Linked DNA regions of Nothobranchius furzeri. The protein of the gene in region 2 interacts with the protein of the main gene of each other region in a biochemical or structural test. Links are inferred from orthologs where the notes say so. Each region holds a gene or a part of one and is shown on either strand. Other genes may lie near its edges. The genes, in order: insrb, stub1, hsf1, irf1b and runx1.

What was found.
Region 1: the proteins of stub1 (region 2) and insrb form a complex in vitro, tested with the Homo sapiens proteins (2 studies listed by BioGRID, with this or other methods). The link is inferred for Nothobranchius furzeri from reciprocal best matches to the Homo sapiens genes STUB1 and INSR.
Region 3: the proteins of stub1 (region 2) and hsf1 form a complex in vitro, tested with the Homo sapiens proteins (2 studies listed by BioGRID, with this or other methods). The link is inferred for Nothobranchius furzeri from reciprocal best matches to the Homo sapiens genes STUB1 and HSF1.
Region 4: of the proteins of stub1 (region 2) and irf1b, one has a biochemical effect on the other in vitro, tested with the Homo sapiens proteins (4 studies listed by BioGRID, with this or other methods). The link is inferred for Nothobranchius furzeri from reciprocal best matches to the Homo sapiens genes STUB1 and IRF1.
Region 5: the proteins of stub1 (region 2) and runx1 form a complex in vitro, tested with the Homo sapiens proteins (3 studies listed by BioGRID, with this or other methods). The link is inferred for Nothobranchius furzeri from reciprocal best matches to the Homo sapiens genes STUB1 and RUNX1.

Annotation. Positions count from the first base shown.
Region 1 is NC_091748.1:57,936,286-57,942,559, reverse strand, and holds the start of insrb (insulin receptor b), read right to left. Parts: upstream 3,421-6,274; 5' UTR 3,191-3,420; coding exon 3,097-3,190; intron 1-3,096. UniProt on the Homo sapiens protein: Receptor tyrosine kinase which mediates the pleiotropic actions of insulin.
Region 2 is NC_091756.1:32,259,085-32,265,384, forward strand, and holds the start of stub1 (E3 ubiquitin-protein ligase CHIP), read right to left. Parts: upstream 3,423-6,300; 5' UTR 3,283-3,422; intron 2,616-3,282; 5' UTR 2,502-2,615; coding exon 2,388-2,501; intron 2,276-2,387; coding exon 2,077-2,275; intron 995-2,076; coding exon 829-994; intron 735-828; coding exon 659-734; intron 560-658; coding exon 503-559; intron 1-502. UniProt on the Homo sapiens protein: E3 ubiquitin-protein ligase which targets misfolded chaperone substrates towards proteasomal degradation.
Region 3 is NC_091759.1:9,321,008-9,327,420, forward strand, and holds the start of hsf1 (heat shock factor protein 1), read right to left. Parts: upstream 3,430-6,413; 5' UTR 3,111-3,429; coding exon 2,979-3,110; intron 1,497-2,978; coding exon 1,388-1,496; intron 1,261-1,387; coding exon 1,124-1,260; intron 608-1,123; coding exon 483-607; intron 393-482; coding exon 317-392; intron 80-316; coding exon 18-79; intron 1-17. UniProt on the Homo sapiens protein: Functions as a stress-inducible and DNA-binding transcription factor that plays a central role in the transcriptional activation of the heat shock response (HSR), leading to the expression of a large class of molecular chaperones, heat shock proteins (HSPs), that protect cells from cellular insult damage.
Region 4 is NC_091750.1:58,827,885-58,834,076, forward strand, and holds irf1b (interferon regulatory factor 1b), read right to left. Parts: upstream 4,335-6,192; 5' UTR 4,198-4,334; exon of another isoform or gene 4,163-4,197; intron 3,614-4,162; 5' UTR 3,608-3,613; coding exon 3,521-3,607; intron 3,285-3,520; exon of another isoform or gene 3,120-3,284; coding exon 2,999-3,119; exon of another isoform or gene 2,898-2,998; coding exon 2,730-2,897; exon of another isoform or gene 2,652-2,729; intron 2,644-2,651; coding exon 2,603-2,643; intron 2,466-2,602; coding exon 2,330-2,465; intron 2,246-2,329; coding exon 2,126-2,245; intron 2,014-2,125; coding exon 1,985-2,013; intron 1,786-1,984; coding exon 1,671-1,785; intron 1,579-1,670; coding exon 1,487-1,578; 3' UTR 918-1,486; downstream 1-917. UniProt on the Homo sapiens protein: Transcriptional regulator which displays a remarkable functional diversity in the regulation of cellular responses.
Region 5 is NC_091743.1:80,942,702-80,948,995, forward strand, and holds the start of runx1 (runt-related transcription factor 1), read right to left. Parts: upstream 4,952-6,294; 5' UTR 4,776-4,951; coding exon 4,688-4,775; intron 1-4,687.

The DNA.
Region 1 (6,274 bases), on a different chromosome or scaffold from region 2:
AAAAGAGGGAGAAAAAAGGAAAAGGAGGAGAGCAACCAACAGCTCTGCCCCTTTCAGGGGCCTCTTTTCTGTCTGCATATATGACCTGTGTAAAGTAGCCAGATCATTTCCTCTTAACCCACACTGGGAGCAACTTTTGAGAAATGCTCCCCCACCCCCAAAAGTAAATTAAAGACCAGAGCAGGCAAACGGGGCATCAGGGGTTTCCTTAAAGGTGATTTATCATGTTGGGTCACTTCAGACTTGTCTACCTGCTCACTCGCTCTGAAATGAGATCATGCGCTGAAACACTTCACAGACTTGTGCAACACAACATCCACAGCACTGAAAACAAATCTCACAAGGAGACATGTGGGCTAAAGGTTACACCAGTCACTGACAAGCAAAAAGAGCATTCGTTTATATAGAAACTGTAATTAGGGCTGCTCAATTAATCGAATTTTAATCACGATTACGATCTGAGTTTTGAACGATTATAAAAAACAAAACAAGCCGATTATTTGCTCCTCCCGCTTGCGCTGCCCTGAGTTGCAAATGAAGCGCTCCTCCCACAGTGTTGCCAACTTAGTGACTTTGGCGCTATTTCTAGCAGCTTTTCAGACCCCATTCTTGACTTTTTAACTTAAAAGTACCTAGCGAACACCTTCAGAAACATCTCTGGTAACCCTTAGCTACTTTCTGGATAACTGTCGTCGACATTTCATGCAGGTTAGCTAAACACTCCGCCTGCGCTCCAGACCGTTCTTCAGGACATTAGGAAAGGGAATGATGTAGTGATGTGTCAGTCGCTAAAGAAACGGCTCTCGGAGCCGGCTCCTTGTTGGATTAGCCAGAGTGAGTGACACACACATCGCACCTGCGGACTCCTGAGCCACTAAAAACGGCTAAATGTGCGTGTGCGGCGCGCTAAACACACATGCAGCTTGCCCCGATTGCTGTGAGACCGGGTTGGGGGGTGGGGGGGTGCAGCTGTGGTTGGGACAATTATTACATTAACTGATGGACTTGTAAATAAATAGTTTATAAATAAGGTAGAAATAAGTTCCTCACGCTGATAAATAATAACTCATCTCTCTGAGGACCCGGTGCTAGTGCACTCTCCTACAGCACCGTGACACGACTAAATACGTATTATGCAATATTTTGTGAACATCAATTTATTTGCATTTATTTGTTATAAATGCCACTGTATAATTCTTGCTGTCAGTATTTGCAAGATATTGGTATTTGGGTCTGTACTGGTTAGACTTAAATGAGTTAAACCAAGGTCTATAGCCCTTGGGTCATAGACTATGAGCTATAAGTATATTGGTCTTTTTATACTGGGAATCGGGAGTTATTTTAGTGATCATCTTGTTTCTTATTTATTTTTGTCCTGATTGTGCCCTGAGCAGTTTTATGACTGAATAAAAACAAATGAAATCAACATAAATTGAAAAACCGTCCTAAATAATCGTGATCTCAATTTCAGTCACCATAATCGTGATTATTATTTTTGCCATAATCGAGCAGCCCTAACTGTAATTCAGTTTTAACAAGTCTGATTTATTCAAGATGCGTAAACTGAGAAAGGTTTCCTCTCGTCCTACATCGATCAGATTATTGTAAATTACAACAACGATAACACCTTATTTAAAATGTAAAATGTATACATGACATTGACTTGTGAAGGTTACTTTTTAACAGTTTCCTACAGATTTCCAGTGTGATTACAATTCTCCTGGTACTGGTTTTAGTCACCTCTTATTAGCTTTCAAGGAGACAAACCTTGTATTTTTGAAGATATTTTTAACAGTTTTCTACACTTTCTGAAGATCTTTCAATTTTTCTGAGACCTGGGTTGCTGCTCTCATTTGACATGTCATGACAGCAGATCGTGTAGAAATTTAGAATTTGAGTGGGGGTCAAAATAAGTCGTGTTGACCTAAAAAAAACTACAGCAAATAAACACCAATCAATGTTGTGTCTTTGAATTTTTTAAACTATCGATTGAAAAATTAAAACAGCAGCACAGATGCATCATCTTTCTAAAGAGATGGGAAAAGTGTTATTTTTTGCTAAACTGCTCACCTCTTCAGTTTACCAAATATTCTGAATGAAATAATAAGAACCAACTGTAAAAAGAAAAAAAATTGCATGTGCCTTGAGAAAAACTTTAATTTGTTTATCAAAAAGGTCCGAGTCCTGGGTAGCAAAACATTAAATTGTGGTAAATTGGAAATATAACTTTCCTCTGTCAACTTAAGTTCAGATTTCATGAAACCTAAACAAAAGCCTGGTGTAAACAAAGCTGTCGCTTGTGATCGTTATTCCGCTGGTGTTGTTCAGACAGAGCGGGATTAATCTCCTCGATCTGCAAACGCAGCTGAGCTGTTTACAAGTCGGCTATATCTATCCACTGATGAAAGCTGCAGACGTCTGGAGAGGACGACCTCTTTGCTTTAGCCCGATCTGGTGCTACAGAGCAGCCTGGACTCATCCGCCGCCTGTGAGGAGGCTTTTTAGCGTCGGGGGATAATTTGTTTACACCCTGGCTGCTGCAGCGCACCGCGCGTGCATGAGTGTGCGTGGCCAGGAGAGGCCTCTCTGGACTCACACAAGGCCGATCCTGCTGCCCCAGTTCGGGCTCACTGCCACGGACCACCCCGGTCCAGCATCCTGCCCTCCGGCTGGCGCACCGAGCGCAGGCCGCTAAAATACACACGAGACTGTGCACGAGGGCGGGGAGACGCTCCACCGTAACCTCACAGGATTATCAATTACAACAGCTGAAATTACTAGCCTCACAATTAAAGCTGCGCATGTCTGAGCATGCGCCAAAACGTAGGCGAGTCTCGTGACACGAAAACAACAAATAATCGGGAATTCAATCAGGTTTCTAGAAGGACCTCGTTGCTTATTCTAATAAAATAACACACTTTAAAACTAAATCGTAACATGTAAATGACACAATAGCGTCTTATGCTTTGCTCATTTTGTTTGTAAACATGCAAATAATCATGATAAACTAAAATTGAGCGTTTCAAAATAAGGCAGAAAGGTGCAGAAGACGAGCAACAGAGCCACATTTAAAATAAAATTAAATGGGAAACTTACTTTCTCCAGTTATTAGTCCACAATGGCATATAATGCAGGTGCAGATGATAAAAAACACCATTTGCGACCGCAGTTTTGGCGTTAACCGCCTCATTTTGGACTTTGTGTGCTCCTCTTTCAGAAACTCCAACGTTGAGTTAAAATGTTTTATTTCTGGGTGGATATTAAAAAAGGCAAGAAATAATGAAAGTCCAATTGGATTAAAATGCCTTTTCCAAAAATAATAATAATAAACAAAATTAAATCCAGGCCACTAAATAATGTGATCTTGGGTTCTGGTCACACAAGTGCGTGTAAAAACCATTTTCCACAAGTGAAGGTGACAGTCCATGTTCCTCTGTCTGAAGTTCCGTTTAAGTCGAGAGAAAACAGCCTGGAGGTCCAGTTGTAAGGTCCACTTAGCTTTGACTTGTTTTGTTTTTGCACAGATGCTCGAGTCTTCTGCTCCTCCCGCAGACACGAGCTGAAAGTTGCGGATCAACTGGATCGCTCCTTCGTGAAGTTCTCGCTCCCTCCTTTTTAAGACCGATGAGAGAATTACATCCCAGGAAACTCTGCGGCAGGAAAAACGTGCAGCTTTCCTCCGACACACCGACCTTCCTCTGAACCCCGTTCACCCCCGCTGACCACCACGCCACTAACGCATCAGAACCGAACAGGAGAAGGGGAACCAACTTCGGGGGTTGAACGGTACCCTTTTCCCCAGATGCACAAAGAGAGGGGGGAAATATCAAATAACATCCGTGTTGAACCCGCACGTATCCGTTAAGTGGAGAACTCTCCACGCATGCTGCCGCCCGTCGCTTTTCTCAGATTAGCTGTTGGGGGGAAACAGCTAACGCTAGCAGGCTAATCCAAAACAAACCAGGTTTCAGCATCGGAGTTAAAATAATAAAAACACGCTCACAAAGTGAGTATCCCGTATAGTGAAATAAAAAGATGAGGTAAAAAAGAACTTAAAAAGGTGGGTCAAGTGTTAAAAACTTGTATTCCCGTAGCGTTTCGATAGAGACGGCTCTCTCCCCCAGGTTCCCCCGTTCCTTCTCTCTTTCTGCGAGTCTCTCCAGCAGTAAACAAGTCCTGCCAGTCACCTCAGCTGGGCCACACTCGGTCTGCGGGAAAACCCGGAACACACGGCCGCCTGCTCCTGCTGCACCGGGAACCGGATCCGGAGCGGCTCCGGCAGCATGGATAACAGACCAGGCAAATACGAGTCCAGCTATTTATTGTGTCAAAATGAAGCATTACCATTTAATCTTAAACACTAAAACTAGAGGGTTGTTTGGAAATTCAACTTAAAAGGTGACAGTAATGTATGAGACAGACTGATTTCATGCAAATCCAGATATCTTAAGCCTTTCTTTGTTGTAAATGTGATGATTATGGCTCACAGCTCAAGAAAACTCCTCATTCTAAATCTCAGACGATTGGAACATTGTGAAGTTTCAATATTCTACACTCAAGGTCTCTAATCAGGTAATGAATCCAAACCACCTGCAAAGGGTACCTGAGCCTTTAGGTGGTCTCTCAGTCTAAGATGGATTACTGAAATAAACTTGACTTTTGCACCATATTCTAATTGTTCAAGTTCCACCAATATGTTGCACCAATGTATCCCCACGTCATTAAAACTGATTACCTTTGAACTGTGCGCTGACAACTAGTCGAATGTTATTTAAAAACCTGTTGGAAAAGAATCTGAGTTGGAAATTTGGATTTATCAGGCAATAAATGGTTTAACACCTTGCCTCAGTTTATCCAAGAGATCTCTGTTTCTGGACCATGTTTGTGTCACAATAAGTTGCATTTGTGGAAACAGCAATGAAACATCTTTGAAAATCGCTTCTGAGGTATTTCAGAGTGAGATCTGCAGCAGAATTATGTCTGTTTTATGACTGCTGCTACTGACCTTTTTGATATATTAAAGAGCAAGTCACCTCCTACCAGAGTATTACTCCACTCCCACTTCCTGTTTGAAAAATGCAACAAATGCTGTTGCCTAGCAGACAGAGAGGGCGGAGCCGCTAACAAATACACACACAGAGACTCACAACGACGCTGTGACATCATATCGTACCAGCTAAGGGTGCCTCTTAGCCATTAGCGATGGCAGATTTAAATTCAACTGCAGTGCAGAGTTTTTACCTGACAACAGCACAGTACTGACAGTTTTAGGCAGAAATTTTAAATTTAACCTAAAACGCACTAAAGTGCAAAATTATTGACTACACGTGTCTGCAGCACGATTAGACACATATTTATCTAGTTTATCAGGAAAAAAAAGTTGATCTGTGGGTGACTTTCTTTTTAATATAATGTTATGTTAGGCATTTGACAATTTAATTTTCTGTAATTCACTTTTCTTGGGGTCTTCTTGCTTCTCTCTCAAACGTTCTGTTATTATAAGAGGCATGTTAATGATCACACAACAACACACGAATGACGATGAAAAACATCTAAATAAATTTGTAGAGGAAACGATTGAAAAATTAGGTACTGCTCTGTTTGTTGTCTATACTCCCCACAGCATCTCAAATATTTCGGAAACAGTTTAGTAAAATGGTTAAAAGTGAATTATTCATCACATATCAAAAGACTTCTTTAGTTTAGTGGACAAATATTTTCAATGACAATTGCATTTTATTTATTTATTTATTTATTTATTTATTTATTTTGCTGTTTTCTTATCCAGGAAATAACAAGTAAAAATATATTTTCTATTTCATGCCCTGAAGTGAAAGTACATTTGTTGAATCTACACTCAAGAAAAATATAAACACAACACCTTTGTTTCTGCTCCGATTTTTCATGAGATGAACTTAAAGATCTAAAATTCATTGTTACAGGTGGCCTGTAGGGTGGCCTTTTATTGTGGGCACTATAAGGTACACCTGTGCATTACTCATGATGTTGGATCAGCATCTTGATGTGGCACACCTGTGAGGTGGGATGGATTATCTCAGCAAAGCACAAGTGCTCACTATCACACATTTAGACTGATTTGTGAACAATGTTTGAGAGAAATGGTAATATTGTGTATCTGGAATGAATTTTAGATCTTAAAGTCCATCTCATGAAAAATCAGAGCAGAAACAAAGGTGTTGTGTGTATATTTTTGTTGAGTGTACATAAAACATGTGAATGTGGATCAATGAACTCAAGTAGAACTTCCAAACAG
Region 2 (6,300 bases):
CAAGCTGCTGCTTAGCAACCACACTGATGTCACTTCCTCCTAAAAAGCCTCAACGATCATCCTAATACGATATTAAGCAAACACATAACAGATTGATACATCTTATTCTAATTTCAAGGCCAGTTCCATCCTCCCTTATACGACTACAACCTCAATATAAACAACCAGCTCTGGCAAGAAACTTGGCAAACAGCAAGTAACAGTCGTCATAGAAACAGCTTGCGCTAAAATTAAAACAACCATCTTATTTCATGCGATCTCATCTGTCAGTGAAGTTACTGAGGTTGTATAAAAATAAAATAACCGCAAAAGATAGACTTAAATAAAACAGATCTCAAGTCAGATCTGAAGAATCAAGTATATTTGCTGCTCTTATGCCAACTACAAAAATGGGGGAGGGGGGGGGGGGAGACACACACTGTTTCTCTGTTAGATTATTTAAAGTATTTAAATATGAATTAAATGAAATAAACAACAAAAAATTAACAACTTGTCAACTCACTTTTCTTTTCTCGTCCACTTGGGAGAACAGCTCGTCCATGTCCATTAAATACTTGTCCTTAGCAGGTCACGTTTACATGTAATGAAAATGTCCCAAAATTAACATCAACGCATATTTTGGTCAGTAAAAAGTGTGAAAATCAGGGCAAAACCCAACGTGTTTTGATGAAATCTTTGCTGCATCTCCTCCGCTTTGATTGTCATCCTGTTTTTCTCTGTATTCTTCAAGTTCTCTATGAAAAATAGTAAACGCCACGTTATATCACTAAATCTAAACCACCTGGAGCACAGCGTGCCAGAATGTATTTCAGAAAAATCCCATCTGACCTCTCCTTCTCAGCCAGGATGAGTTTGGTCAGGTAGGCGTGCAGCTCGTTCTCCTGGTTGATGCGCTTCTCCTCGATGCTGTTCCAACGTTTTTTCTTGGCGATGCGTAACGCACTGGGGATGTCGTCTCCAAAGTTCAGCCTCTGCTCTTTTGCCAGGTTATACGCTATAAACAAATAAATAAGTCACATTAGTTAAAACTTGGAAGTTTGGAAAACGGTCAAAAAGAACATCTAAACAGTCTTTAAATCAATTTTCTATCAATTCCATGCTGCTGCAGAAGAGCTGGTGCTGTGGCTGCTTAACAATTTCCCAACGCTCTGAAATGGTAGGTTAGGTTGTAGTTAGAAGATAGAGATTTTGCACCTGCAGCTACACATGACCAAGCTTTCTCTATCATTATGACGCAGACTGGAGACACTGACTCAGTCCATCAGCACCCACCAGGTAACCAGCCTCTGATTGCTCTGGTTTGGCCTGTAAACTATACATTTATAATAGAAAGCATAAATCTGACCCTCGTGTTGTGTTATGGTTTTAGACTTATCCATGAGTTTTGAAGTCAGCCGGTATCCAGCATGTTTTAGTTGTTTCCCTGCTCCAACACATCTGATTTCACTCAGCAGGTGATTAACAGGCTTCTGAAGACCTTGATGAGCTGCTGATTAAGTGTGTTGGAGCAGGGACACAGCTAAAACGTGCTGGATACCGGCACTCCAGAACCAGGATTGGACTCCGCTGCTTTAGTAAAAAAAAACAAATAACTGTTGCACATTGGGTTTAATGCTCTGTGTGATCTGCTTGTTTGAAGAACTTGTCTGGAGACTTGTCAGCAACATTCAAAGATATAAATGAGTAAAACACACGGACTGAACAGTGTGAGTCTGTCAGCCAGCAGCACTTAAACATCAGCTTTCTGGTATTTAAAATAGGCAGAAATTACTGGAGATTGTATTACAACATTTAAGGGTCATGTTGAACTGTGAAAAAAACGGACTTTTCTGAAATGTTACACAACAAGTCATTAATTTATCTACACAACATTGATGTAGACATGGAATAGAACTTTTAAAGATTGCTGAAGACAATGGGGACGAGAAAACAACTACATAAAAGGATGACAATACAAAAACTTCAATCTAAAAGGAATTATGAAAGAAAAATGAAGGAACTTGTGAGACGAACTTTTCCCCCCAAATGACGCAAAACTCAGCCATGTTTACATCCTCTTTAAGGACTTCCTCAAACCTTTCTGCAGGTTTCCAATAGCCTCGTCGTAGTTCTCCAGCTCCAGGTGACACTGACCCAGGAAGAAGTGTGCCTTAACGGACTGGCTGTCCAGCTCCAGAGCATGCTTGCAGTCAGCCAGAGCCTTGTCATACTGCTGCAGCTTTACATGGCAGAGGGCCCTGTTGGTGTAGTATACAGCCACTGATGGATTACGGTTCTGTGGGACAAAATAAACCAGAAAGTGTGTTAATGAATTATCTGTAATCAGAAACATTTGTATTCTTCCAGCTTAGATGACTTAAGACTCAGACATCCTTAGTGCCACTCACAATAGCTTTGCTGTAGCAGGTTGCAGCCTCCTGGTACTTGCGGCAGAGGAACAGCCTGTTCCCCTGCTCCTTCAACTCCTGCGCGGTGGAACTCTTCTCCGGGCTGCCGGCCATCTTCTCCACCGGCTCCGCGGGGCCCGCCTCGCCCTGCTTCCCAATCCTGTTCCCCGTCTCTTCGGCTGGCCAGACGTCAGAGTTCAAAATGACCAGTCCGTCCTGGATCGCGCTCTACAGAGCAGACACCACAGGGTTTACTGCACTGCAGCTGCAATGCGCGTCTTTTAGGTGCAATGCTGCTCGATGCCACCCAAAAGGTTTGATTTGCTGACTGCGCGCACTGCCGCTGAAAAACACAGCTAGGTGCCTAGACTGAATTAACTATTCATATGACGGACATCGGCGTGGGCTGCAATCTGCAATGAGCACCGCTTTGAGTATTAAGTCAGGGTAACTTTACACCAGAGGTAGCCGAAAGGTGACGACCGACACCTCCAAACAGATCACTCGCTTGCGCAGGAACAGTTGGAGGCTAGCTGCTGTGGAAGAAAATGTTCTCAGACGAAAAAATTCACAACTTTAGTGAGACCAGAGATCGCTGCTATGCCTAGTAAGCTAGGCTACGTGGTCGGTTTTCACCGGGGGTTGCTAAAGGATTCCGCTCATTCAGCTCTAGTTAAACTCACTGAATTCATCAAATGAACAATAAATGCCACGTTTGATCCCAAACTATTCTCAGCCGGACACTGTCGTTAATAATATAGTACACCAAGACCCGGCTAAGCGATAAGTAAAAAAATCTTTAGCTAATGCTAAAATTAGCCTGTTAGCCCAAAGCCTCCCCTGTTTCTGGTTTAAACTGAGTTCGTTGTTAAAGCCTACCGTTTCCAACTCTTACCTTTAATGATAAATCTTACATCCAGATGATTGTGACTTCATTTATTTTGATATACAGTCTTTAAGTATTGATTTTCCCCGTACGAGCTCTCATGACAAGTTGTTGTTATGCTGACGTAAAGGGCTTTTTTACGTTACTCCAACGGAAGCCGAAAGGACACAATTAGTGCGATGAAATAAAAAGCAAATAACTGAAACTATGTATCAGTTATTACCTCCTAATCTTTCATTTAGAATAAAACAAAAAATGTTTTATGTATAGAAAGACTTACCAACAATTTCATTTGTTTGTGAAATGCAGTAAATAACGTTTAGTATTTTGAGTATACTTTATTTTATTAAATAATTGTCTTAATTATTATTTTGTAGCTATTTAAACACCATTTTTAAGTATCATTTATTTTTGTACATTTACGTGTTAATACGTAACATTTAGACAAATTTATTAAGATGGCATGTGAGTTATTTAGTCATTATTTTTTATCACATGTAGACATAGATTCAAGCTATTCAAAAGTATTAGTAATTCCAAAACACATTTTACATATTCATACATAATAGGTTTTGAGGTCAACTATTAATTGACAATAAAGGTAAAAAAACGTGTGCATCTACTGTTGTACTGAACATCTTTTTATATTTTTTAATTATCTTTATTTACTAATTTAGCATTAAATCAAATAGTTATGTACAAATCCTAATGCAGTGGTTTCAAATTCATATTCAGGTAGGATGCTATGTCAGAGTGTCAGAAAATGCAATAATCCTACCAAAATAAAATGTGGATTACATTCATATACCCTTTGATGGCAACTTTGTACAAATCTGTTAAAACGTGGATCATTTATCAACATTCCTTTCAGGATTCTCCTGGCATGTTGATCAATGATGAATGATCAAACAGACTCACATATTCTTGTTATGAAATGATATCCAGGATCTTTGTTTGCTGCTGTTATTTTGGTAGACTTGTTTTTTTGTTTTGTTTACATATTTAAGTCGAAGCCAACATTCTCTTTGTGGATTTCAAAGTTTAACTTAAACTTTATTTAAATTAGAGTCTGTGTGTCAAATTAAAATTTTTATTATCTTATAATACCATAAAGCAAAGCAAAGCACACACACACACACACACACACACACACACACACACACACACACACACACACACACACACACACACACACACACACACACACACACACACACACACACACAAATTACTTTTTTTTTAATCACGGCTTGTCCTACTTTGATCTGAAGCTTCACCAGCAGAGGGCGCTCTGTGCTGCAAAATTACTTGAACATCAAAATTGAAAACGTCTAACTGTGTAGAGACCTGCAACAGCAGAGAAGGACAACAGGTCTCTATTAACTTATTTCATGGATGCCAAGATCTTTTGAGGCTTCAGTGATGTAAACTTTTGAATAATTAAATCAAAATATTAAGATTGGTCCTAATATTCACAAACGCACCTCTAACCCTTTGCCAAAGTAGTAGAAGTCTGTTAGAAACAGGTCATCACTTTGTTCAGTCGTGGATGACATCTTCAGGGAGGGGTTGGGTAATGTTCAAGACTTTATCATAAAGTATCTCAGAGACATCCCACCCACAGGGAGACCTACAGACGACCTTTATAACTAAGATCTTTCAAGTTTAGCAACAGAGAAACTAGCAAGACAATGATTTTGGACAGGGTCACTTTCATCCCAGCCTGTGTGAAGATTAGGACACATCCCCAGAGCAAACACACATATAGATGTGTTAAAGAGGGGGGGTCCAACTGAGCTGCAGACCTAGCAGCAGTGAGTGTCCCCAGCTGTGTTTACCGATCTCCACCAGCTTGGTGTGTTGATCCTCCAGAACACCCACCAGCTCAACTAATCTGTAAGTCTGAGGAATGCTAAAGCCTTCTGTGGCATCTATAGGGTGGGTGCAATATAAAACACATATTAAGCTGCTAGGATAAACAGTCCTTTTAAGGATGATGGGAAAATTGTTTCATGCAAATTATCACCTTAGCAGAGGACTCTTTGGGATGCTTGCACATCTCTGGCATGTTTTTCATTTGGTTTAGTTCAATTGTTTTGTGTTTCATTAGTGATCAGAAACACAAGATGCTGCACTTTCCTGAAAATGTATGGATCGAAGAATTCAAATAGTGGACTGAAAGTTTATGTTCCGCAACATTGGAGGAACTTTTTATTAGAACAGAATAGACTTTATTAATCCCAGTAGGGAAAATCACTCGTTACAGCAGCACATACGCTTGGAGAGGAGGAAGAAAGCTATTATTGTAATCTTCAACCGCTAAAAACAACAAATAAAGAATGATCGAAGGATTAGAATTAGTAAAAGTGATTAGAAAAGTGTTTCAGAATCATTCTTCAGCTGTTTTTCTCTTCAGAGAGATGTGCAAAAAGAAGAGATTGGGGTTGTTTGGGGTAAGTTTCATTTTTAAACGTTTTTACCAACTGCTTACATTTAAATGCTGGACTCCTCCTGTCCACCATCACAACCGCCATCCTCCTCTGTCCTCTATCAAACCCAACGGCTGCACCAGCTGGCTGAGCTTCCAGTAACCAAGGCAACCAGGCTAGGAAGTTTCTTGACTCCGTTGGCAGGGCTAAAAAGCTGCCACTTCCTGATGGAGCCTTGTCTTTCTTTCTGCCAGTGTAGTTGTTTTTTTTTTTTCTTTTGGCAGCGTATTTCACTGTTTAGTGCCAAGTCAGAATAAGAGAACACACTCTTCTTCAAACCTCTGGTTCAAATGAGGAAGTCAAAAGCAGGAACTCTCCACCGCGGTGGCTTTTTGTCTGATGGATTTGCTCATTTTGAAAACGGGAAAGTCTGAGAGATTTAAAAAATGCTGTTTTGAGTGGATTTGAATCAGACATTCTCTAAAGAGGAAGAAGAAAACTTCCACCTGCAAAGCTGATAAATGCAGGAATAAGAAGTGAAATAAAGAGCCCAGAGGCTGGCCTGTGCACATACATGACCAAACATCAGTGCACGCTC
Region 3 (6,413 bases), on a different chromosome or scaffold from region 2:
GTTAGGAATAAACTTGCATCTTCCGTTTGACTCCCATGATCCTGTTGGTCTGGACAAGAGACACCAGAAACTGGATCAACTGCAAAAAGACAAAGCTTATATTTAGCTGAGTTAGCAGCTACGCTAACGCTAACAGCAGGTTAATATATTTAGTTTAAAGACGTTTTTTTACATTCACAGATGTACAGATTTATTTTGCTCGTTCAGCGAGCAGCAGCATCTTCTCTTGTGCACAAACACAAATGATTTTTTTACAGCTTTGATCCAACAGCAGGACCAGTTTGTGCTACGTCTGTCTGGGTGGATGCTTTTGTACCTTGTTGACAACTTTCTGCTGCTGCACGTGTTTTTGTCTCAGGCTGGCCACTTCCCTCCACAAAGCCTCGTTCTCACTAAAACAGATAGAAAAATAAGGTGAATGTTAATATTACAGGAAAAATCTCCTCCACTTAAACTTTTCTTTTGTTAGTTCAGCTTCCTACTGTTTCATGGAGAGGATCCTGGAGTCGATGGTTTCCTGTTTTCCCTTCATCAGATGGACGTCGTTTAAGATTTTGTTGACCTCGTCTGTAGAAATTTTCACTTCCTCTTGACGGACCGATGCGACCTGCACCGGATACAGAAAGGAGGAACCATTACCAAATATATCAGATGTGTCCATTCTAACTGCACGTGTTCACAAACGTAGGGAAAAGCAAGACAGTCAGAGCTCATAGCGTTATAGACAGCTGCTCCAAAGATTTATTACAGGACTCTGTGATTATTTTAGAAAGATTTCAATACAGAAAACAAGAAAAATGTAAAATTAAATCCAACTTCAGTGTCATTGAGAGGTAGTTTTTTGGGATTTGCGGGGAGTTTATCTGTACATTAAACAGTCTGTGCTTCTGGTTAGGATGGAGATGATCTTGAATGGATTTATTTGTAATTAAGTTTCTCTCTAAAATATTAATTATTGATAATTAATGTTGTCAAAATCCTTTTGATTTTTTCTTATTAACATTTAACCAAGTCAATCAGATTTTTAGCACCTAGACAAGACTTTACCTCTAGATTACTTTGAAAGAACTAATCTGTCAAAAAGCACCAGACGTTTGATCTGAGTGCTTCTGCGTTACCATACATTTGTGACTTTTCTTTTGATGTTCTCCAGCAGGTGTTCTTGTCCTCTGATGAAGAACGGGTGCTGGAACTCTGTGTCGTCTCTCTCGGGTTTCAGCAAACCACCCTGCTCAATGTGCACCACCTTACGGAAACCATCTGGACATCAGCAGAATAGAACAAAGCAGCAGCTGGTTAAATAAATGTTCCTGATTAGTCCTGAAACTATAATAAGAGACCGCTCAACTAGAGCTGGTTTAGTTGGTTGATGACAGCTGATACTCACACATATTGAGCTGTCGGATGAAGCTTGCCATGTTGTTGTGTTTGAAGAACTTTGGTAGAACCTCTTTAGAGAAGCGAGCCTGATCAAACACATGGAAGCTGGTTCCACTCTGATATACAGAACACAGAGCAATCAGTCGTGTCAATAGAGCAATAATAACAAACAATTTAAGATTCAGTAAACAGAATTTTACAAGAAAAAATACTAGATTTTGACATTTTAACACCCGTAAATTGTGAATAAACTTTTTACCATGTCGGCACGGTGGAGAGAGGAACTGCAGCTGTCTGCAGATCAGCTTACACCGTTGACTGCAGACTGTTGCCACGGTGATCTAAACTCAACTATTGTTGTGTGAATTAGAATCAGTAGGGAAATATTCCTGCAAAGCTTTTTGCAAATTGATGTTTTATTCAGTTTTATTTGGGAAATATTGCAGTTCTTCTCTGCTTTTGCATCTGTCCCATTTTTCATAAAACAAACGTGTTTGATAATTAGTTGGTTTCTACATGTTTAAACTTATGTCTGAATCTTATCCTCAATAGCTCAGACTTTATGCCCTTTAATTTTGTCTATAGTGATTTTATTTTTAATCAAAGTAAAAAATATTTTGTCTTCTTAAACTGTGAACTCTGGATATTTGAAGGCTTTTGAGCCTTGACAAGACTTTTGGTGACCAACGTATACATTTCTGAAAGTAATAATTAAAAATATATATTATAGTAGTAAGACAGAAGGCTTTAGTAAAATGAACATTTTATAATATAGTATAGTGTGCCTTGCTGAGAGGTGCTTTGTGTGTTTTTGTTACTTGAAGCTCTTATTTTGATGAGCCACAGCAGTGATTTCAGCTAAAGAGAAGAAATAAAAGCAAAGCGTTTCCAAACTCGGGCAAATAATCACAATTTCAATAGATATACATTTCAGCAAGTTTATTAGACAGAAACTATGATTCTAATGTGATCTTTAAGCTGGATGAGCATTTGTAGAGGATTTTAGAAACCCAGTCAGTTAACTCAACTAGCAACAATATAAATTGAAAATGTATTACTGAGGAATTAAAAACTTCTGCAAAAAAACAACAACAATACCATGTTTACGGTATGGTTTGACTGTTAACGTAAAAACTGTTGTATATGAATCCACATTAGAGTTCTTAGAAAACTTGTATCAGGTTTTACAAGTCAAACATAAAAATAGGCCTTGAGTAGGTAACATGAGGTCTATGTAAGTAAATTAACTTGGTTGCTCATTTTCACTGACATAACCAACAGCAGGTCAACACCTGGTCCCCAGTATACGTCAAATTTATAACACCAGCCGAACACGAGTAACTCTCTGAGGACCTGATGGCTAAATCCAGAGCGCCAGACAGTTCTAATGTTAGCCCGTCAGAAATCCACCTGCAGCTGTTACAGCTAACTTGTGATATTACATTTTATCAATATTACAAACTAACAAAAAAAACTAATGTATTTACTCGCTTTTTAAAAACATTCTCCCTGGAGTCTTCGCTCTGATAAGAATAACGTCTCAAGTGCTCTGCGAGTAATTAGCAGTTAGCTCTGCTAGGCTAGCCTAACATGAGTACCGGGCTCCAGCAGATAAGAGGGTCGGTCTCCGGGTCTTCTACCAGGGTCCACAGCTTCGTTAAGAAGGCTGGCACGTTTCCGCCGCTCACCACCACTCCTCCGGTCACTCCACCCCCTCCGAGATATTCCATTACAATAAAAGACGATAAACGTACACTAAACTCCTGAAGCTAATGTCAATGCTAAGTCGGTTAGCCTACTGTTAACCCCATCAACTCCTAACAGACACAAAAAAGCGAATAAACTACGACACTAAACCAGATTAGGGTTCGTGGAGCATCTCGAAAAGTTAACCCCGATCTGGAGTGGTATTAGTGTCGGCTAGTCCACAGACCAATGTTCTAACTTTACTCTAAACAAACTCCGTAGTGGAAAATTCCAACAAATCCGATAATACAAACAACTGCGTAGCTGGCTGAATGGCTGTCGCTCTTTCGCAGCGTCATGACATAACGTAAAGTGAACGTTCGGTCGCGGTGTGACGTAAAGCTATATCTGGATTGTTTTTAATTTGGAATGGAAATGGCAGGGTCAAAAGCAGAGAAATACACATTTAAAATAAATATAAACTTTGTGTTTTATTTTGCATGACATGTCATTTTTCTTAGCGATAGGTTGATGTTTTAATCCCAGGTGTTTTCATTTCAAATTTAAGTGTCCTTGGGCAAGGCATTGAACTCTGCCCTCGTGGTTGTAAATTCTAGATGAGTGCCTGTTTTGAAATTTTGTTAATTTTCAGGGGCCTGATCTTGAACCTGTGGTATTTTCACACCAGATGTTGCCATACATTTATGCCGTAAACCATTTATTTGCAATTAAATATTACCTTTTACGAGCCCATTTAACGGAAGTTACTCGACCTGCGCAGAGCGCGAGGACATCCACTCTGTTTACTGCCACTGGCAGTCAGGAGGGAACGAAACAGAACCAATTTTTGGTGACACGTTATCTTTATGTTTGCACATGGATGGAGACACTCACAAATTCGATTTAATCAACACATTCAGTCATTTTTAAGAACCTAATGATAATCTGTTTAAAGTAAAAATTATTGTTGCAGTCTGATGTTTTATTGTTGTTTTACAACATTGTTATGTTATATAAATTGATTTTGATCGACATTTGTTAACTTTTGCTTTTAATTCACATCATAAACTTCATTGCAATCATACAGAAATGTTGTTTTTGGTCAGTCTGACAATACAGTTGTTGGGCTTGTTTGTTTTCAAACAGTAGTGTTGTTGATATGTTATGTCATTAGTTGACCAATTTCAAGATTAAGGTTTTCTTTTTGTGCAAATTAAAGAAAATGTTTTCTGTGGTCAAATATGGCACAGGACAGAAACATAAACGCGTATATAATTAGGAATTTATCTCTCACAGGCTTTTGGGTATTTACACAAAATATTTGTTAAGAATTTAAGTGGGTAGTTTTTTTTTGTGAACATCAATCACATTATATTGTAACAACAACCAAAACTCAACAACAACAAAAAAGAAAGAACAACTCAGTAGATAAACCAAAAACCTTTTAACTAGACCATTAGAAATATTCTAATCAGCAGAAACAACCGGATTTATAAGATTAACAAGACACAATAAAAAATTATAATAAATATTATATTAATATTAATACTACTAATAATAATACAACAACAATAATAATAATAATAATAATAATAATAATACATATTCAAAGACAGAGGACCTTAGTTCACAGGATCTTCACTAAATCCGACAAGTGTAACAGCCTGTATAGTCTTTACCTTTTTAAGAGATTTGCAAAATATAATAAAATTGTTTTGGAAAAAAGGAAAGTTTGGCTTCACTTTCATAAAACGGCATTTGTGGAAAAAAAAATTCCAAAAAATGATCAAATTGTTAACAACGAATTGAATCTGATTATTTTTTTCTATACACCCAAATTGAATAGTACTATATGTGAATAAGGGGATATTGTAACTGGTTTTGAATAAAAGCCAATTGTATAAATCTGACCAAAATGTATTTACCGATTTGCAATCATAGAAAAGGTGTTTCTGAGTTTCAATTTCACTATTACATAAGACACATAAATTATCTTGTATATTAAATCTGATATTTAAAAATTCTTTACATGGATATATATTATTAATCGTTTTAAAGTGAACTTCCTTCATTTTGGGGAGAAGAGTATAAGAAAGAAACTCTGTTCTTATGACTTTGGTATCTTTAATTGAGAGAATCGGAGAAAGAATTTTCCTTCTGACAGGAATAGGGAAAAACTTGTCTGACAAGACTGCTCTTAGGTAAGAGTTATTACATTTACGGTCTGTAAAACTCAAATCACCTATAGATAATTTAGGAAGCTTAGGTGTACTTGTTCCACGTTGAATACTTTGACTGACCATCTGGCCAACAGCTGGAGAAATAGCCTTTATAACTCTAGAGTATTCCGTTACAGAACAGTCTATATTATACTTAATTTTGAACACAGTATGCTCCAGAAACTTACCCTTACTGTCCATCAGCTGCAATATCGCCCAAACTCATTTATCCATCCAACTTTTATAATACATCGATTTCCGTTTATACAGAACAAATCTGTTATTCCATATAGAGGAGGAATGTGGGCTAAAGTTATGCGAGTAGATCATTTTCCAGTACATCAACACTTGTTTAATATAGTTAGAAAGTTTGATGGGTAATTTAAGAGGATCGAAATCACATTTTAACAGAAAATCCATACCTCCAATCTTCTCAAACAGAAATGAAGGAATACAGAACCAGATAGAATTTTTCTTAATTAAAATTTTTTTTAGCCATTGTAATTTAATAACTCCATTCATTACTTCAAAATCAATGACATTCCGACCTCCTTCTTCTATAGGTTTTACTAGATCGTTTTTCCTAATCAAATGTTGTTTATTATTCCAAATAAAGTCATATTGTGTTTTATTTATTCTCTTAACATATTGGTCAGGGATAGCTACTGAAAAAGCAGGATAGATTAAGCTAGATATACTCTCCGTTTTTGTTAAGAGTATTCTACCAAAACTGATATATTTCTTTGGAGCCAACTATTTAGAATCTTTTGATTTTTATTAATTATCGGTTGGATATTGTTATCCACTCTCTCCTTAAAGATTTTATTAATCTTCATACCCAAATACTTAATTTCATTCTTAATAGGGATATCGCAAATATGAAACTCCTCAGTATCATGAATTGTTAATATTTCACATTTGTTAGTGTTCAACCTTAAACCTGAGGCTTGTGAGAACAAAGACAGCGTTTTCATGACATTAGGAATTTCCTTGGTACTATTCAACAATAATGCAGCATCATCTGCTAGTTGAATTATTTTAAGCGAGTGTCCTGCCACTGTTAACGGTTTAATTGACTGGTCATTTTGAATTAGTAGAGTCAGCATTTCTGTTGCTATAATAAAAAGA
Region 4 (6,192 bases), on a different chromosome or scaffold from region 2:
GTGGACATGTAATAAATTATTAGTAAACTATTAAATGTCACAAAAATATTTGTTGAAATTTGTTTCATTCACACTTGAAAATGAATGAAGAATTTTTTTTTAAAAGTCATGGTTGAAGATTTCATAATTCATGCATCAAAGGGTTAAGTGAGGATTGGTTCTGAAAAAACGCAACTGGTAAATAAAAAGTAAAATAAAGGTAAAAATCTAACATTTTCAGCCAAAACTGCTCACTGTGTCATGAATGACACTGTAATGAGTTATATCTGGTTCAAGAGTTTCTCTTCACCCCTGTCAGAAAGGCCTCTTTACAAAAAGTGTCCATCTTGCATGATTCTGCCAAAAGAACAAGAGTTAGAAAAAAATAATCCACTGAAGCATTAATTTCACCACTGTGGACATGTTAAAGGAGGCAGAAACAGCTGGTAACATTTGTTTATGTCTCAAACCAATAAATGCCAATAAATACTTCATGAAGAAAATTATATTTAACATTTATGCTCAAATTTTTACTTCTCAGGAATATTTTTTTAATTTCAAAGTTTAGAAAATGCATCATACTGGGATTATCAATGTTTGTAGACTTTTATAAAAACTATTGTTACAGTTTTTGGCACTTTGTGCTAAATCTCAGATGTTTAATTGAGCCCCATATGAGGAAGATGAAATGCACAATGCATCTGTCTGATGAACTAAACAACCACATAGATCAAATGGCCAGAAGGGTGGATCTGCTTCCCCTTCAATGTGGTTGAAGATTACTGTGAAAAGTACCCAAAACATGCTGTTCTTTGCAGTTTTTCTGGTTGGCTCGCTCAGAGAAACTTCTAAACTTTGGCAAACGTAAGGTAAATCCTTTGGCGCAAATCCCTCATTTCATAATCTGGTTGCATCAGTAACGAGCCAACGTGTTTTCAGACTTCATTTTTACCTTTTATTACAAAAAACTACAAACACAACTATATACAGAAACACCTTGGAGATGGGTTTTGGGCAAACATCAAGAAGTGCGTTCACCGTATTTTGACGGATTCATGAAGACATTGGAAAAATGCGATGTTTTGATTTGACACCAACTCCTTCACAAATGCTTAGAGCAGCTGGCATTTGTGATCAGTGCCAGCCTAAGTGCACTCGAGGTAGGCGAACCTCACCTTTATTACTGGTTACAGTTAATAATACAATGCCCTGTCAGAACTCCACAAACTGTACAATTTTACAACACAGAAAATTTACATGAACGTTGTTTTGAACCAGTCAAAAACAAAGACGACAAACAGTGTTCTTCAGAACTTCACATAGTGGCCGAGAGACGGGAGTGGCTCCGTACGGAACCACGAAAAAGGAGTTAGCTTAATGAGTCGAGACCAAAGAGACTGTGACTTGACTTAAGGGGTTTGGTCCCAGATTAGGAGGTGGGGTGGACAAGCAGAGCTTCATAATAGTCCAAAGTGTCAAAGCACTGTCCTGTTAGTTCAATCTGAATCTATTGGCAAAAGCTGTTCCAGAAGACATCTGTGGGTGATGTGAAGTCTGTGCCCAGAGTTGTGTACTGGGGTGTGTCATCTACTTCTTCTCCTGCAAACACAAGGACCAAAGGTGAGAACAAGTACCAGGATTTTAGTAATAATTTTAACCTACGGTAATCGTCTATCTAGACTGGTATTTACCTGAGGATGACTCACTCCACTGGCTTCCTGGACTCGTGCATGCTTCATTGCTCAGGAATCCCATGTTGCCTGCATTGTACATCCCCAGTGAGTCTTTCTCCAATTGCTGGCAAATCTGTAAGAGCAACACCAGATTGAGTACTTTTGTCCAACTGGAGTTTTTCCACAACATCAAGTAGCTTTTTTTTAATTAAGCCTTATAATTTTAGTTATTCTAAAACAAGCCAAACAGGCCAAAAAAGACAAACATGGGTATTCATGTCAATGAAAACTGCATGTGTTTAAAAAAAATAGGAGCTGAGAGCTGTGCTTACCTCAATGATGTCCTGAGGATAGTCGTAATCTGGAAGGTCGCAGCAAAGAAACAGGGAGAGAAGAAAAAGCAAATGAGTCTAATGTTTGCTGTATTAGGCAATTTCTTCATCTTTATTCAGAGATTAAATCTGTCATCTTACCAGGGCTGTGTTCAGGGGAAACCTCAAATCTGTGAGGAAAGCTGCTTGGTAGGTCGTCCAACGAGATTTCGACTGAATTCGACCAATCAGGGACCTCTGACGGAGCCGTGAAGGAGAAATCTGCAACAGGATTGATGAAGATTTTAGATCAAGTCACTCAAATATTTTTTTAGGACTTTCAAATAACATTTTGGTTTTGCTCACCTTCCTGGTCCATCTGTACCATGCTGTCGACTCTGTTTTCCTGAGTGGAGATGTTTTCTTCAAACAAGGATGTGTTCAGTGGCGACTGAGTGTCACTGTAGTCTGTGTCTTCCTCCATATTGACATTCTGTCTCTGCTGAAGCAAAAAAAAAAACAACCTCATCAGCGAGTTTTACGTAACAAAACGTAAGAAAATGTGAGCTAATCCCATGTAGACACTATTTACATGTCTTTATCTAGAGGGTGACATCATTTCAATAGAAATATATTTACCTTCTTTTTTGACTTTGTGTCCCTCGCTTTGCTTCGTTTGTCTGTGCAGGGAGAAGGAAAAACCTGGTGAGTTAAAGCTTGGCTCTGAGAGTGCAGAAGGAGTCCGAGTTTAGCTGCCGTGTCTCACCTCTGCATTTGGGAGTAGCAGGCAGCATTCTGAAGACGCGCATGGCTTGGTGGCCTTTATTGATGCTCCTGTCTTTCACCTCCTCAATATCAGGCAGGGAGTTCATCGCACAGCGGAAGTTGGCTTTCCATGTTTTGGGATCCATGGGCTGGCCGTGCACATATTTGCCTGAAAGCAAAAAGCAAAGCGGTTAAGCTTTAACTTTTTTTCCTTGATAACCTGTTTTTTTTTTCTTTAATGAGTTGGCGTGCCAGATCCTGCCTGCTCACCTGTGTGAATGGCCCATTTTTGGAACAGACAGGCATCTTTGTCTAATTCCCAACCGTGTCGAGCTGCATGCTTCCAAGGAATGGAAAACATTGTCTTGTCCTGAAATGCCCCGCAGACAGGCTGGATTAGGAGACGGATTTGTTGTGAAATTAAAATACAAGAACAAAGTTTAACTCATCCAAAGGTATAATTCTGCTTTTTTCCCCCTCCATCATGCAAACCTGATGATTTGCGTATCAAATGCATTGCTGATGCGGAAGAATAAAAGCATGCAACTTTTACACATTTAGTGAATGTATCACTTGCATGTTAAGCATTTGGGGACTAAATGTGTTTTTATGCCAAATTTCCATTTTCACTATTGCTAAAAGTTGTTTTTTTAACTTTATTCCTCTTTCAGAAACGTGCAAACAAGTGACGTGAGGGAAAATGCATGCTTCATGTAGTCTTTGCAGAGCAGGAAGCTATTCCATGTGCTCCAAATTGGTAGTGAATCACACAAAGCATTGCAAGACACTCACCTTGTCCACCCAGGCCAGTCCAGGGATGGAGTTGGACTCGATCATCTTCTCCAGCCATGGCCTCATCCTCATCCTTTGCACTGGCATGTTGACCTAAAACGTGCAGCAAACGAGGGAAAGATTGGGATAAGTGACGAATCGGGTGCTTGATCCTGTACAGTGAGCAACAGCACTCCCACATCCGCCTGTGCTTAGATTTATAGCTGCCTACTGGCCGCGCGGAAGGGTGAGGAGGAGTTCACCAGGACGCGAAAGGCGCGCACGGTGGGGGTGGTTACGCGTAGGAGTTAGGAGGTTCCAACGGACCAAAAATTACAAAAAAAAAATAAAAACACACACACTTCAATGCCCGAAAAATATGTTTAACACTACAAAAACTGTCGAAAGTAGCCCACTGTTTATTAAAAATAATAATATGATGCTGTTAATAAATAAACTAGGATTTAAAAGGTTGTAGCTGTGCGAGATGACAACTCGCTCCTCCACCAGCGCGGCTCAGTGTATGGCATGCATCTTTATCCTATAAATTCCCATAGTCAACAAAAGTTCCAAAACGGGGAGAAAAACGTGCAAATTTGGAAAACAACTAAAATAACAACATGATAAAAAGGCAAAACAAAATGAAAGCGTTTCAAAAGTTACCAAATGCGTCCGGTAAAAAAGATGAAAACACGTACGGTGTTTATTTCTCTGCAATCCAAGATGATAGTGGTGTGTGCGAGAATAATCCGAGCGGCTTGAGTTTGCTGTTGTTAAGTTTCTCCTCGTTCTTGTGAGTTATCCTGCAGGATATCTTTGGTGAAGTGAGCTGACTGCTGCATGGGCATCTTTTTATAAGTAGCAGCGGGTATTTCCTTGAACAGCCGAAGGGAGGCGTGTGCACGCTGGAAGAAATATCCGCATGAAAAAAACTAAAACAATGAAAGATCCTGCAGCTTTTATTCATGTGGGTGTATTTTTATATGAAGTATTTTCTAATTATTTCATACTAGTTTAACTAAAATATGGTGATTTCTATTTTTAAAGAGATTGCATATTCTAACAAGAGGCATAAAGAAAAGCTTTAAATCACTCATCTACCCTTAAAACAAACGAATTTAAACAGAAGTGACGATTGCAAAAACTTAAACATATTATAATCTTACGTGTGCACGTGGTTACTTCTGTTTAGATAAAGAAAATATACCTTAAAGATGCAAAATCAACATACTTGACAGTTATTTTGTTCACACTTTTTCCAGCAGTACGCGCATGCGTAAACCAGTCTTTTGGATACAGCAGCCGAGCCGTTTCCGAGAAATCATGCAGTTGAGAGCAAGGAGGAAGTTTACAACTGTCTGCAATGGCTTCATTACAGCGGTGGGCACGTAGTCCAAAGCATGAAGACCTGCTGATGTAATTCATTGCAAATGATTTGAATTTTGCAAAAGTCCACATTTTTGTTGGGATTGTCAAAGATAGCACATTTATTTTTACTCAAATACACACATGCGCGCGCACACACACACACACACACTCAGAAAAATCATCTTCTAAAATAATGTTTAAATATTGGATTTTTTGCACGAAACATCAAAAAAACTACCATTTCAGATAAAGGACTAGTTTGAATGCCTGCAAAGGGCATAAATAGGTCACACGCGCGCACATTCCCCCGCTCTGTGTCAAAGATCATCTGACAGCCTGGCATGTGCACTATACGAGCCTTCAGCCGGCGCTCGAGAAGCAGGGGCATTTACAAGAAATGGTGTAGTAATTTCTATTCGCCGCTAGGGGCAGAGTGGTAACGCAAGCTCCTGCACTCAGAGTTATGTGGAAATAGTTATGCGGGCTTATTCAGCAAAGCTTCTCACATCACCAAGCGTGTCTGACACAACTCGCATGTGGTAGGGAGGGGAATAAAGATTTGAAAATTCCACAGGAATTTTTACTATTATTATTATTATTATTTTACACAATTAGAGTATGAGAGAGACTTTGGGAAGCCCCATAAATGCCTTGTCACATCTATTCAACCCTGCTGTTGATTAAGGGGCTTCCCGGTGGTGGTGGTGGTGGTGGTGGTGGTGGTGGTGTGTGTGTGTGTGTGTGTGTGTGTGTGTGTGTGTGTGTGTGTGTGTGTGGGGGGGGGTGGGGGGGGGTGGGGGGGGGGGGTGGCACGTTTCCAGCGCGCGTCTGCTCAAGGAGGAGGGAAGCGCAGGGAGTTTTCGCGTGGAGTTTTCACCGGCAGCAGCAGGCTGTGGGATTTCCCAGTGAAGAAAGGATTTTTGAAGCCGTGAGGAACAGCATTCCTAATTTAGGATGTTTATAACCTCCTTGTCTTGATGCTGTGCGGATCATGGGAAATCACTGGAGCTGTGGCATTTTCAGTTCAATAAAACTTTTGGTTTTTAGGGTAAAATAACCTATAAATGCTGAAGATTGTATAAAATAATGCAATTTATGAGAAAATACCAATGTTTTTTATCATTATTAATAGATTTTAGTACTAAATTAAACCTTATATGTAATAAATCTCATTCAGTGATTATCCCTGCCTTTTATTTCCACACAAAAAGAAATGTCTCACTTGTCAGTGGTTATTGATGCACTTTATACCTAAAATGAAACACCATATTTTATACAAACTGTAATCATTTATGCATCTTCCTTGCTCGTTTTCACCTCTTATC
Region 5 (6,294 bases), on a different chromosome or scaffold from region 2:
CTCTCTCTCTCTCTCTCTCTCTCTCTCTCTCTCTCTCTCTCTCTCTCTCTCTCTCTCTCTCGCTCTCTCTCTCTCTCGCTCTCTCTCTCTCTCTCTCGCTCTCTCGCTCAATCACACACGCACACACACACACACACACACACACACACACACACACACACACACACACACACACACACACACACACACACACACACACACACACACACACACACACACACACACATTACATCATATAAACAGTAGAGGGCAGTAAGGGATCTAATTCAAGGAACTTCTGAAAGTCAAAGAGCTAAATAAGTTGTTTCTATAGTTTTTAAATTACATTATTCTAACATCAGTTAACAAACAATTTAAATAATTTATTTAAATCATAAAAGATTTAGGATGCTCCAGGTGTTTATTACACTTCAACTCCGTGCTAATCAGTTAAATGATGAGAAATGGCCCGCACTTCCATAGCGCCTTTCAGATTAAGAGGACTCCAAAGCGCTTTACACCGATGAGCTACAGTGTAGCCACAGCGTTTTTAGCCCCGTTGACTCACATTCATTTTTTCGTTCTTCCGGGGACCCATGAGCCACCCGGAAAGGGAGGAGACTTAGCCTCCCTATATCTTGTTATTTACAAATCTCCCCATCACACTGTTTAGAACCTGCTTATTTATTTTATTGTATTTATTTATTCTTCATTTAACAGGAAGGTCTTTTTGAGATTAAAAATCATTTTCAAGGGAGTCCAAGAGGAAGCAAAATATACAGTCACAAAATTTCTGTTACGCATTTAAACTTCATGAAAGTGTTGAACCAAAATGCAGAAAAATAAAAACAAGAGTGACTCATACTGGTTTGAAAACAGACTAGAACAGTGTGAATCACAGAGCTAGTAAAACATCTGGATGGAATCAGAAAAAGCTATTTTTAAAAATGAATTTTAACAGTAATTTATGTCACATCCAAATGCTGTCAGAGGACATTTAGTTAAAGGCCACTTTGCCTCTGCTTCTAGCTCCTCATAGCCAAGTGTGTGTGTGTGTGTGTGTGTGGGGGGGGGGGGGGGGGGGGGGGTTTAAAATGTAAACACCTCATCTCTCATCGTGACTTGAGTTGGACATATCCTTTTGGAAATCGTTCGGTTCCTCGTCACCAGAATCTACACTTTTCTTGGTTATCTGCAGAAAATCTGTGATTATTTTCTAACCAGTAAAGAAAAGAAAAAGTGACAGAATGTTATTCTGATATATTCCTCTGTTGTTCATCTCATCCTTTCTGACTTCCTCACAGATCTAAACAGAACAGACGCTGCGAGCTACATAATCATGTAGGTAAAGAAACAGACTTGTGATGAGAAAGGAACAAGGAGAAGAGTTAGGTTTCACTCATCCAGCATTTCCCACAGACTGACCTGTAACCTGAGCTTTCATCCTCCTCCTCTCCAATGATCCTCCAGATATCAATCAGGATTTACATCAATAGATGAACTTCTTCCACAAGAGTCCTTCACCGCAGGCCTGAGAGCTTGAGGGACCTTCTAAATGCACCTTTCCAGCAGCAACACTCAGCTTTACTCGGATGGGTTTGGTTCAGTTGGATTGCATTTCCCAACAGTCACTGATTGGCTAGGGAGCTGAGTGATTGGTTCTGCCTGCTGCTGTTTCTGGGTTCAGAGTCTGTCAAAACCCATCCGACTGAGCTGAATGTTCAGCATCACCGCCACTGGCCCACAGACTGGTCACATGGTGCCCTTAATTTAATTTTGTGGCTCATCCCATCAACGACTGTGGGACAAGGGTGGCAATCCGCTTTGTCACTAAAGGTGTTCGAGTGAGGGTGGGCACCTGGTGCCCCACCCACAGTGTGTGATGTGTGTGGGTGGAGTGACGGCGCCGCTTACAGATCACGTAATGCATTTGTGTCGGGTAAAACTTGAGAGTTCCACAGGTGCTAGTTTGGGTGGTCACAACTCTAAGTGCTCTAATGACCTCTGGTCCTACTCAGGTCCTAACGCTCCACAACCTCTAGTTCTTCTCTCATCCTTTGGTGTTTCTGCATCTTCTCATGTCTTTTACCCCGATGTTCTAGTCACTTGGGTTCTCCGAATCTTTCACCGCCACTTATTCTGCAGATTGTAGACCACCATGATTTCCACTTGGTTAGCCATTGCCTGTTTGTCAGACTGGATCCACTCATGGTGGAGAATCCCACTCTGACTATAGAACCTTTAACCCAGATTAGACTCAGATTTTCCTTTACACTGTTCTAGCCACTCGGTTATGGTGTCCCATTGCCTACATCTTACATCCTGCTATTATCTGCTGGACTGTCTCAGGGTCATCTCTGAATTGTCTCCATGGTCCTATCTGCTGTTGCTCTTCAGCTAAGGGCTTGCTCTGATGCTGTCATGAATAGACTCTCTGTTGTCTTTGTTTTGCCACTGGTAGGATTTTCAGACGTCAACCACTTCCGCTACAACCTTGGACACAAAGTGTGACATTTTTCTTCAAGATCTTTTTTTCAAAACTCTTTTATTTTAGTTCCAAAGTCAAAATTTCTACACGTTGTTGACCTTAAATTCCTTAAGATTCCTCTTGCTTTATGGGTATTGAGCGCTATGGCTTGTGAGCTTTATCATACAGCTAAATATCTATTGGATCTTTAGGTACCAACTTAGCGTAATGTTCTCTGTGATGGTGCAGGTAGGAACGGTCCTAGCAGAAGTTCAACAGCATTTTCATCGCTTGATAAGGGGTGGGGTTCTAACTTGGTAACATGGAAGACATCCAAGCTGGTTTGGCATTTACGTCTCTTAATCATTCAAAAATTGCGGAAAGCATCCTTGGCCAATATTTTAGTCCTTGATCTCAAATAAAATAGCTTTATTCATGACAATTACAGTAACTCCCATAATTAATCATGTCAGAGCTCTGTCACATTAATGCAAATAAGTGATTGCTGGCCACGCCCACCCATCCATGAATGGCTGCTATGAAGTGAGGAGCTCTGATATACGGGAGGGGCTTCAAGAAGAGCCGCTGTTCCACCTTGCCCAGAATGGAAGCCTCCCTAAGTGTGGACCAGTGAGGTAAGGGGTGGTGGTGGTGGTGTAAATTTATTATATTTTATAAGCCTTTTTCATAAGACAGACATGCCGGCATGGCGTTGCGCGAATTTTGCGGCATTCATTCCGCCTCGCTTGGTAGTAATACTGCGGTAATGGTCTGTCGTATGCGCCCTGGCGCAACAGAGGCAGGTGTCATGATGACGTGGGGAGTTACTGCTGAGTTCCGGCTGGCAAATTTATTGAAAATGAAAGTAAACCCAGGCAATAAGGTTTGCTTTTTGAACAAAATCAGCTGAGATGGCAAACTGGAGCGCCGCAGCGCTCCATGAGCCTCTCTGTTAGAGCTGAAGCTCAGATCACCAGAGACTGCACAGGGACTGATGGGGACAGACACCTTTGGGAGCTGCTTGTTAAAAAAAAGTAACGATCACGGCTTCAATCGCAATAAAAAGCAAGTTATGTCCAAGATAAACGGAAGTGTGCGGACCGCTCCATACACCCTTTATGCTGCCATCATCTAATCTTTTATAAAATTGCCACGATTGCGCCACATTACCGCCATGGTCTGATCTTATAAACGACCTGTATCCTCCTCAGGGAGCCGCGGCAAATCCCGTTTTACAAACGCTCTGGTCCTGTAAAAACAGCCATAGAGTCAGCAGAGACCTACATGGAAGCCAAATGGGACTTCTGCATGATATGTCCCTTTCACAAGTATTTACAGACTGCTCTTTAACAAATAAAACGTTTCATATCAAAGGGAATGTTTGCACTGGTTCAGGACAAACGTATTCCCTGGTGTTTTGTTGGATCTGCTTTGGCAGAAAAACCCTAGAAAAAGCACTTAGCACAAAAACAAGATGCTTGGAGGCCTACCGCTACAGCTAGGTCTCAATACGCATGCCCAGAGACAGTTTCTGACACTGGTTGTAGGGTGTGAGCACACATGGAGCATCATATTGAAAATGTTCAAATGTTTACTAAAACAGCTGCTTTGAGTGGAAATAACAGAGCATGTGGCACCTCTAAAGGTTTCGGATCCAGCCTGACACACAACTAGTTTGATACCCCAAATCTGTAAGATGTAGATGATGGATGGATGGATGGATGGATAAATGGACAGACAGATGGATGGATGGATGATCCTGCCCCCAGGATAGTCTGAAACAAAATGCGTCAAGAGATTGTAAGTTTAATTTAATGATAGGACAACCATCGTAGAGGTAATCGCACACAATACATGATGCATTTAATACATGGACCATTGGAACCACTGGTTTTTAGGAACCAGTAACAGGCTTATGCAATACCCATGCTAACTGAATCCATCATGATAAGCGATCACCCATGACAGCCCTGAGAAAACACTATGACCCATAAAACTCTACCAAGGACAACAAAACACCAGCAATGCTCTTACTTTTGCTTATACACCCAACTACTGGATAAACCCGCATCTGGGCAGACCTTTAAACTACCAGATATCTGTGATGTGAAACTCGAGATCAGACAAAATACCAACAAGTGGAATATGACATGCTTTTCATTGAGTATTTGATTTAGTTAAAAACGTGATGTGTGATGGTAAAGACTAGAAGGTGCAAAAAAAAAAAAAAGCAAGCTTTACCGAAGAGTCCGGTGCCCGTCTGCCCTTTCCTCATCAGGTACACGGCCCAGGACAGGGGGCCAGTACTGGTGAAAACCCCAGGGTTCATAGTGGAATCCTGGGTGCAGACACAGCCGTGACCTCCCAACACCACGAACAACAACTAGCAAACAAAAATAAACAGCAAAGGCATTAACTGAACAATTATTAAAAAAAAAAACGTTTTATCTTCTAAAATTCCAGGAAAAAAATTGATTAGTAACAAAGCTGCAAAAGCGAACAGATTCGTTTCAGCTGGTCCTCACCTTCACAACCTGCTTTTATACCCTCCCTCTCATCTCCTCACCCACTCGTTTTGTGTCCTTTTACCTCACCCCTCATATTAGTAAAAACCAGAAAGACCGTGGAGTATAAAGTGCGAGGAAGGGGAGGAGGGAAAGAGCCAGTCAAGCTTAATTCATGCCTCCCTTCTCTAAAGCGTAGCCACAGGGGACGGAGCTCCACTTTGCCCTCAGGCTCTTTAAACCTGCTAATTTAATTTAGCTACTCAAATGATTTTCTCCATTTTTTCTCTTAGCCTCACTTCTTTTCTGTCACTATCTTTATTTCAAACTATTTTGACATTACAATAAAACAAAACATCAACAAAAAAAGCTTGATTTGGATGGGTTTGTCTTTAGTGTACCCCTGCTTAAATTACACCTCTGGTCTCAGCTTCTCTGTTGACATTTTATTCAAGTTTAACTTGAGACAAAAGAACAAGGAAGGGTGCACAACTTGTCAACAATTTAGTCTCAGAAAGTTGGTTTATTTGTTTGTTTAATTGTCTAATCTGTAAATTGTTTTCTTAATTTGTTAGAGTTTTCTTTTTTTCCTTATTTATTCAATGTATTAGCACATCAACACTCTTAAAATTAGATTTAGTTTGTTAGGAAGAATAAAGAAAATGATGTGAATAAAATGTAAACATAAAAAATTCAACAAATGCATCTAATATAGAGCAAAAATAATAAAAACTATAGAGTATCAATGTACTAGAAATTTTCCAACTTAAAACTTCGTATTTGATATGCAAGCTGTAAGACCAGTACGAAGTTTGATTGATTAAATTTGTCAGTAAAATGCAATGAAGTTTAGACAGTTCAGAGGTTAGAGCGCACAACACTAATTAAAGTTTTCAATTAAATTTGATTTTATTTACAAAGCGCCAAAGCCCGACAAGAGTCGTCTCAAGGCACTTCACATAGTAAACATTCCAATACAGGTCAGTTCATTAAGCCAATCAGTAAAAAGTTTCCTTTATAAGGAACCCAGCAGGTTGCATCGTGTCAGAGTCTTTACAGCAATCCTCATACTAAGCAATCATGCAGTGACAGTGGAGAGGAAAACTCCTTTTTAACAGGAAGAAACCTCCAGAGGATCCTGGCTCAGTAAAAGCAGCCATCCACCACGACTCACTGGGGATTGAGAAGACAGAGCAGACACACACACACACACGCACGCACACACACACACACACACACACACACACACACACACACACACACACACACACACACACACACACACACACACACACACACACACACACAAAGTAGTGTTTCTATGGTTACATTGTGATTTCTTAG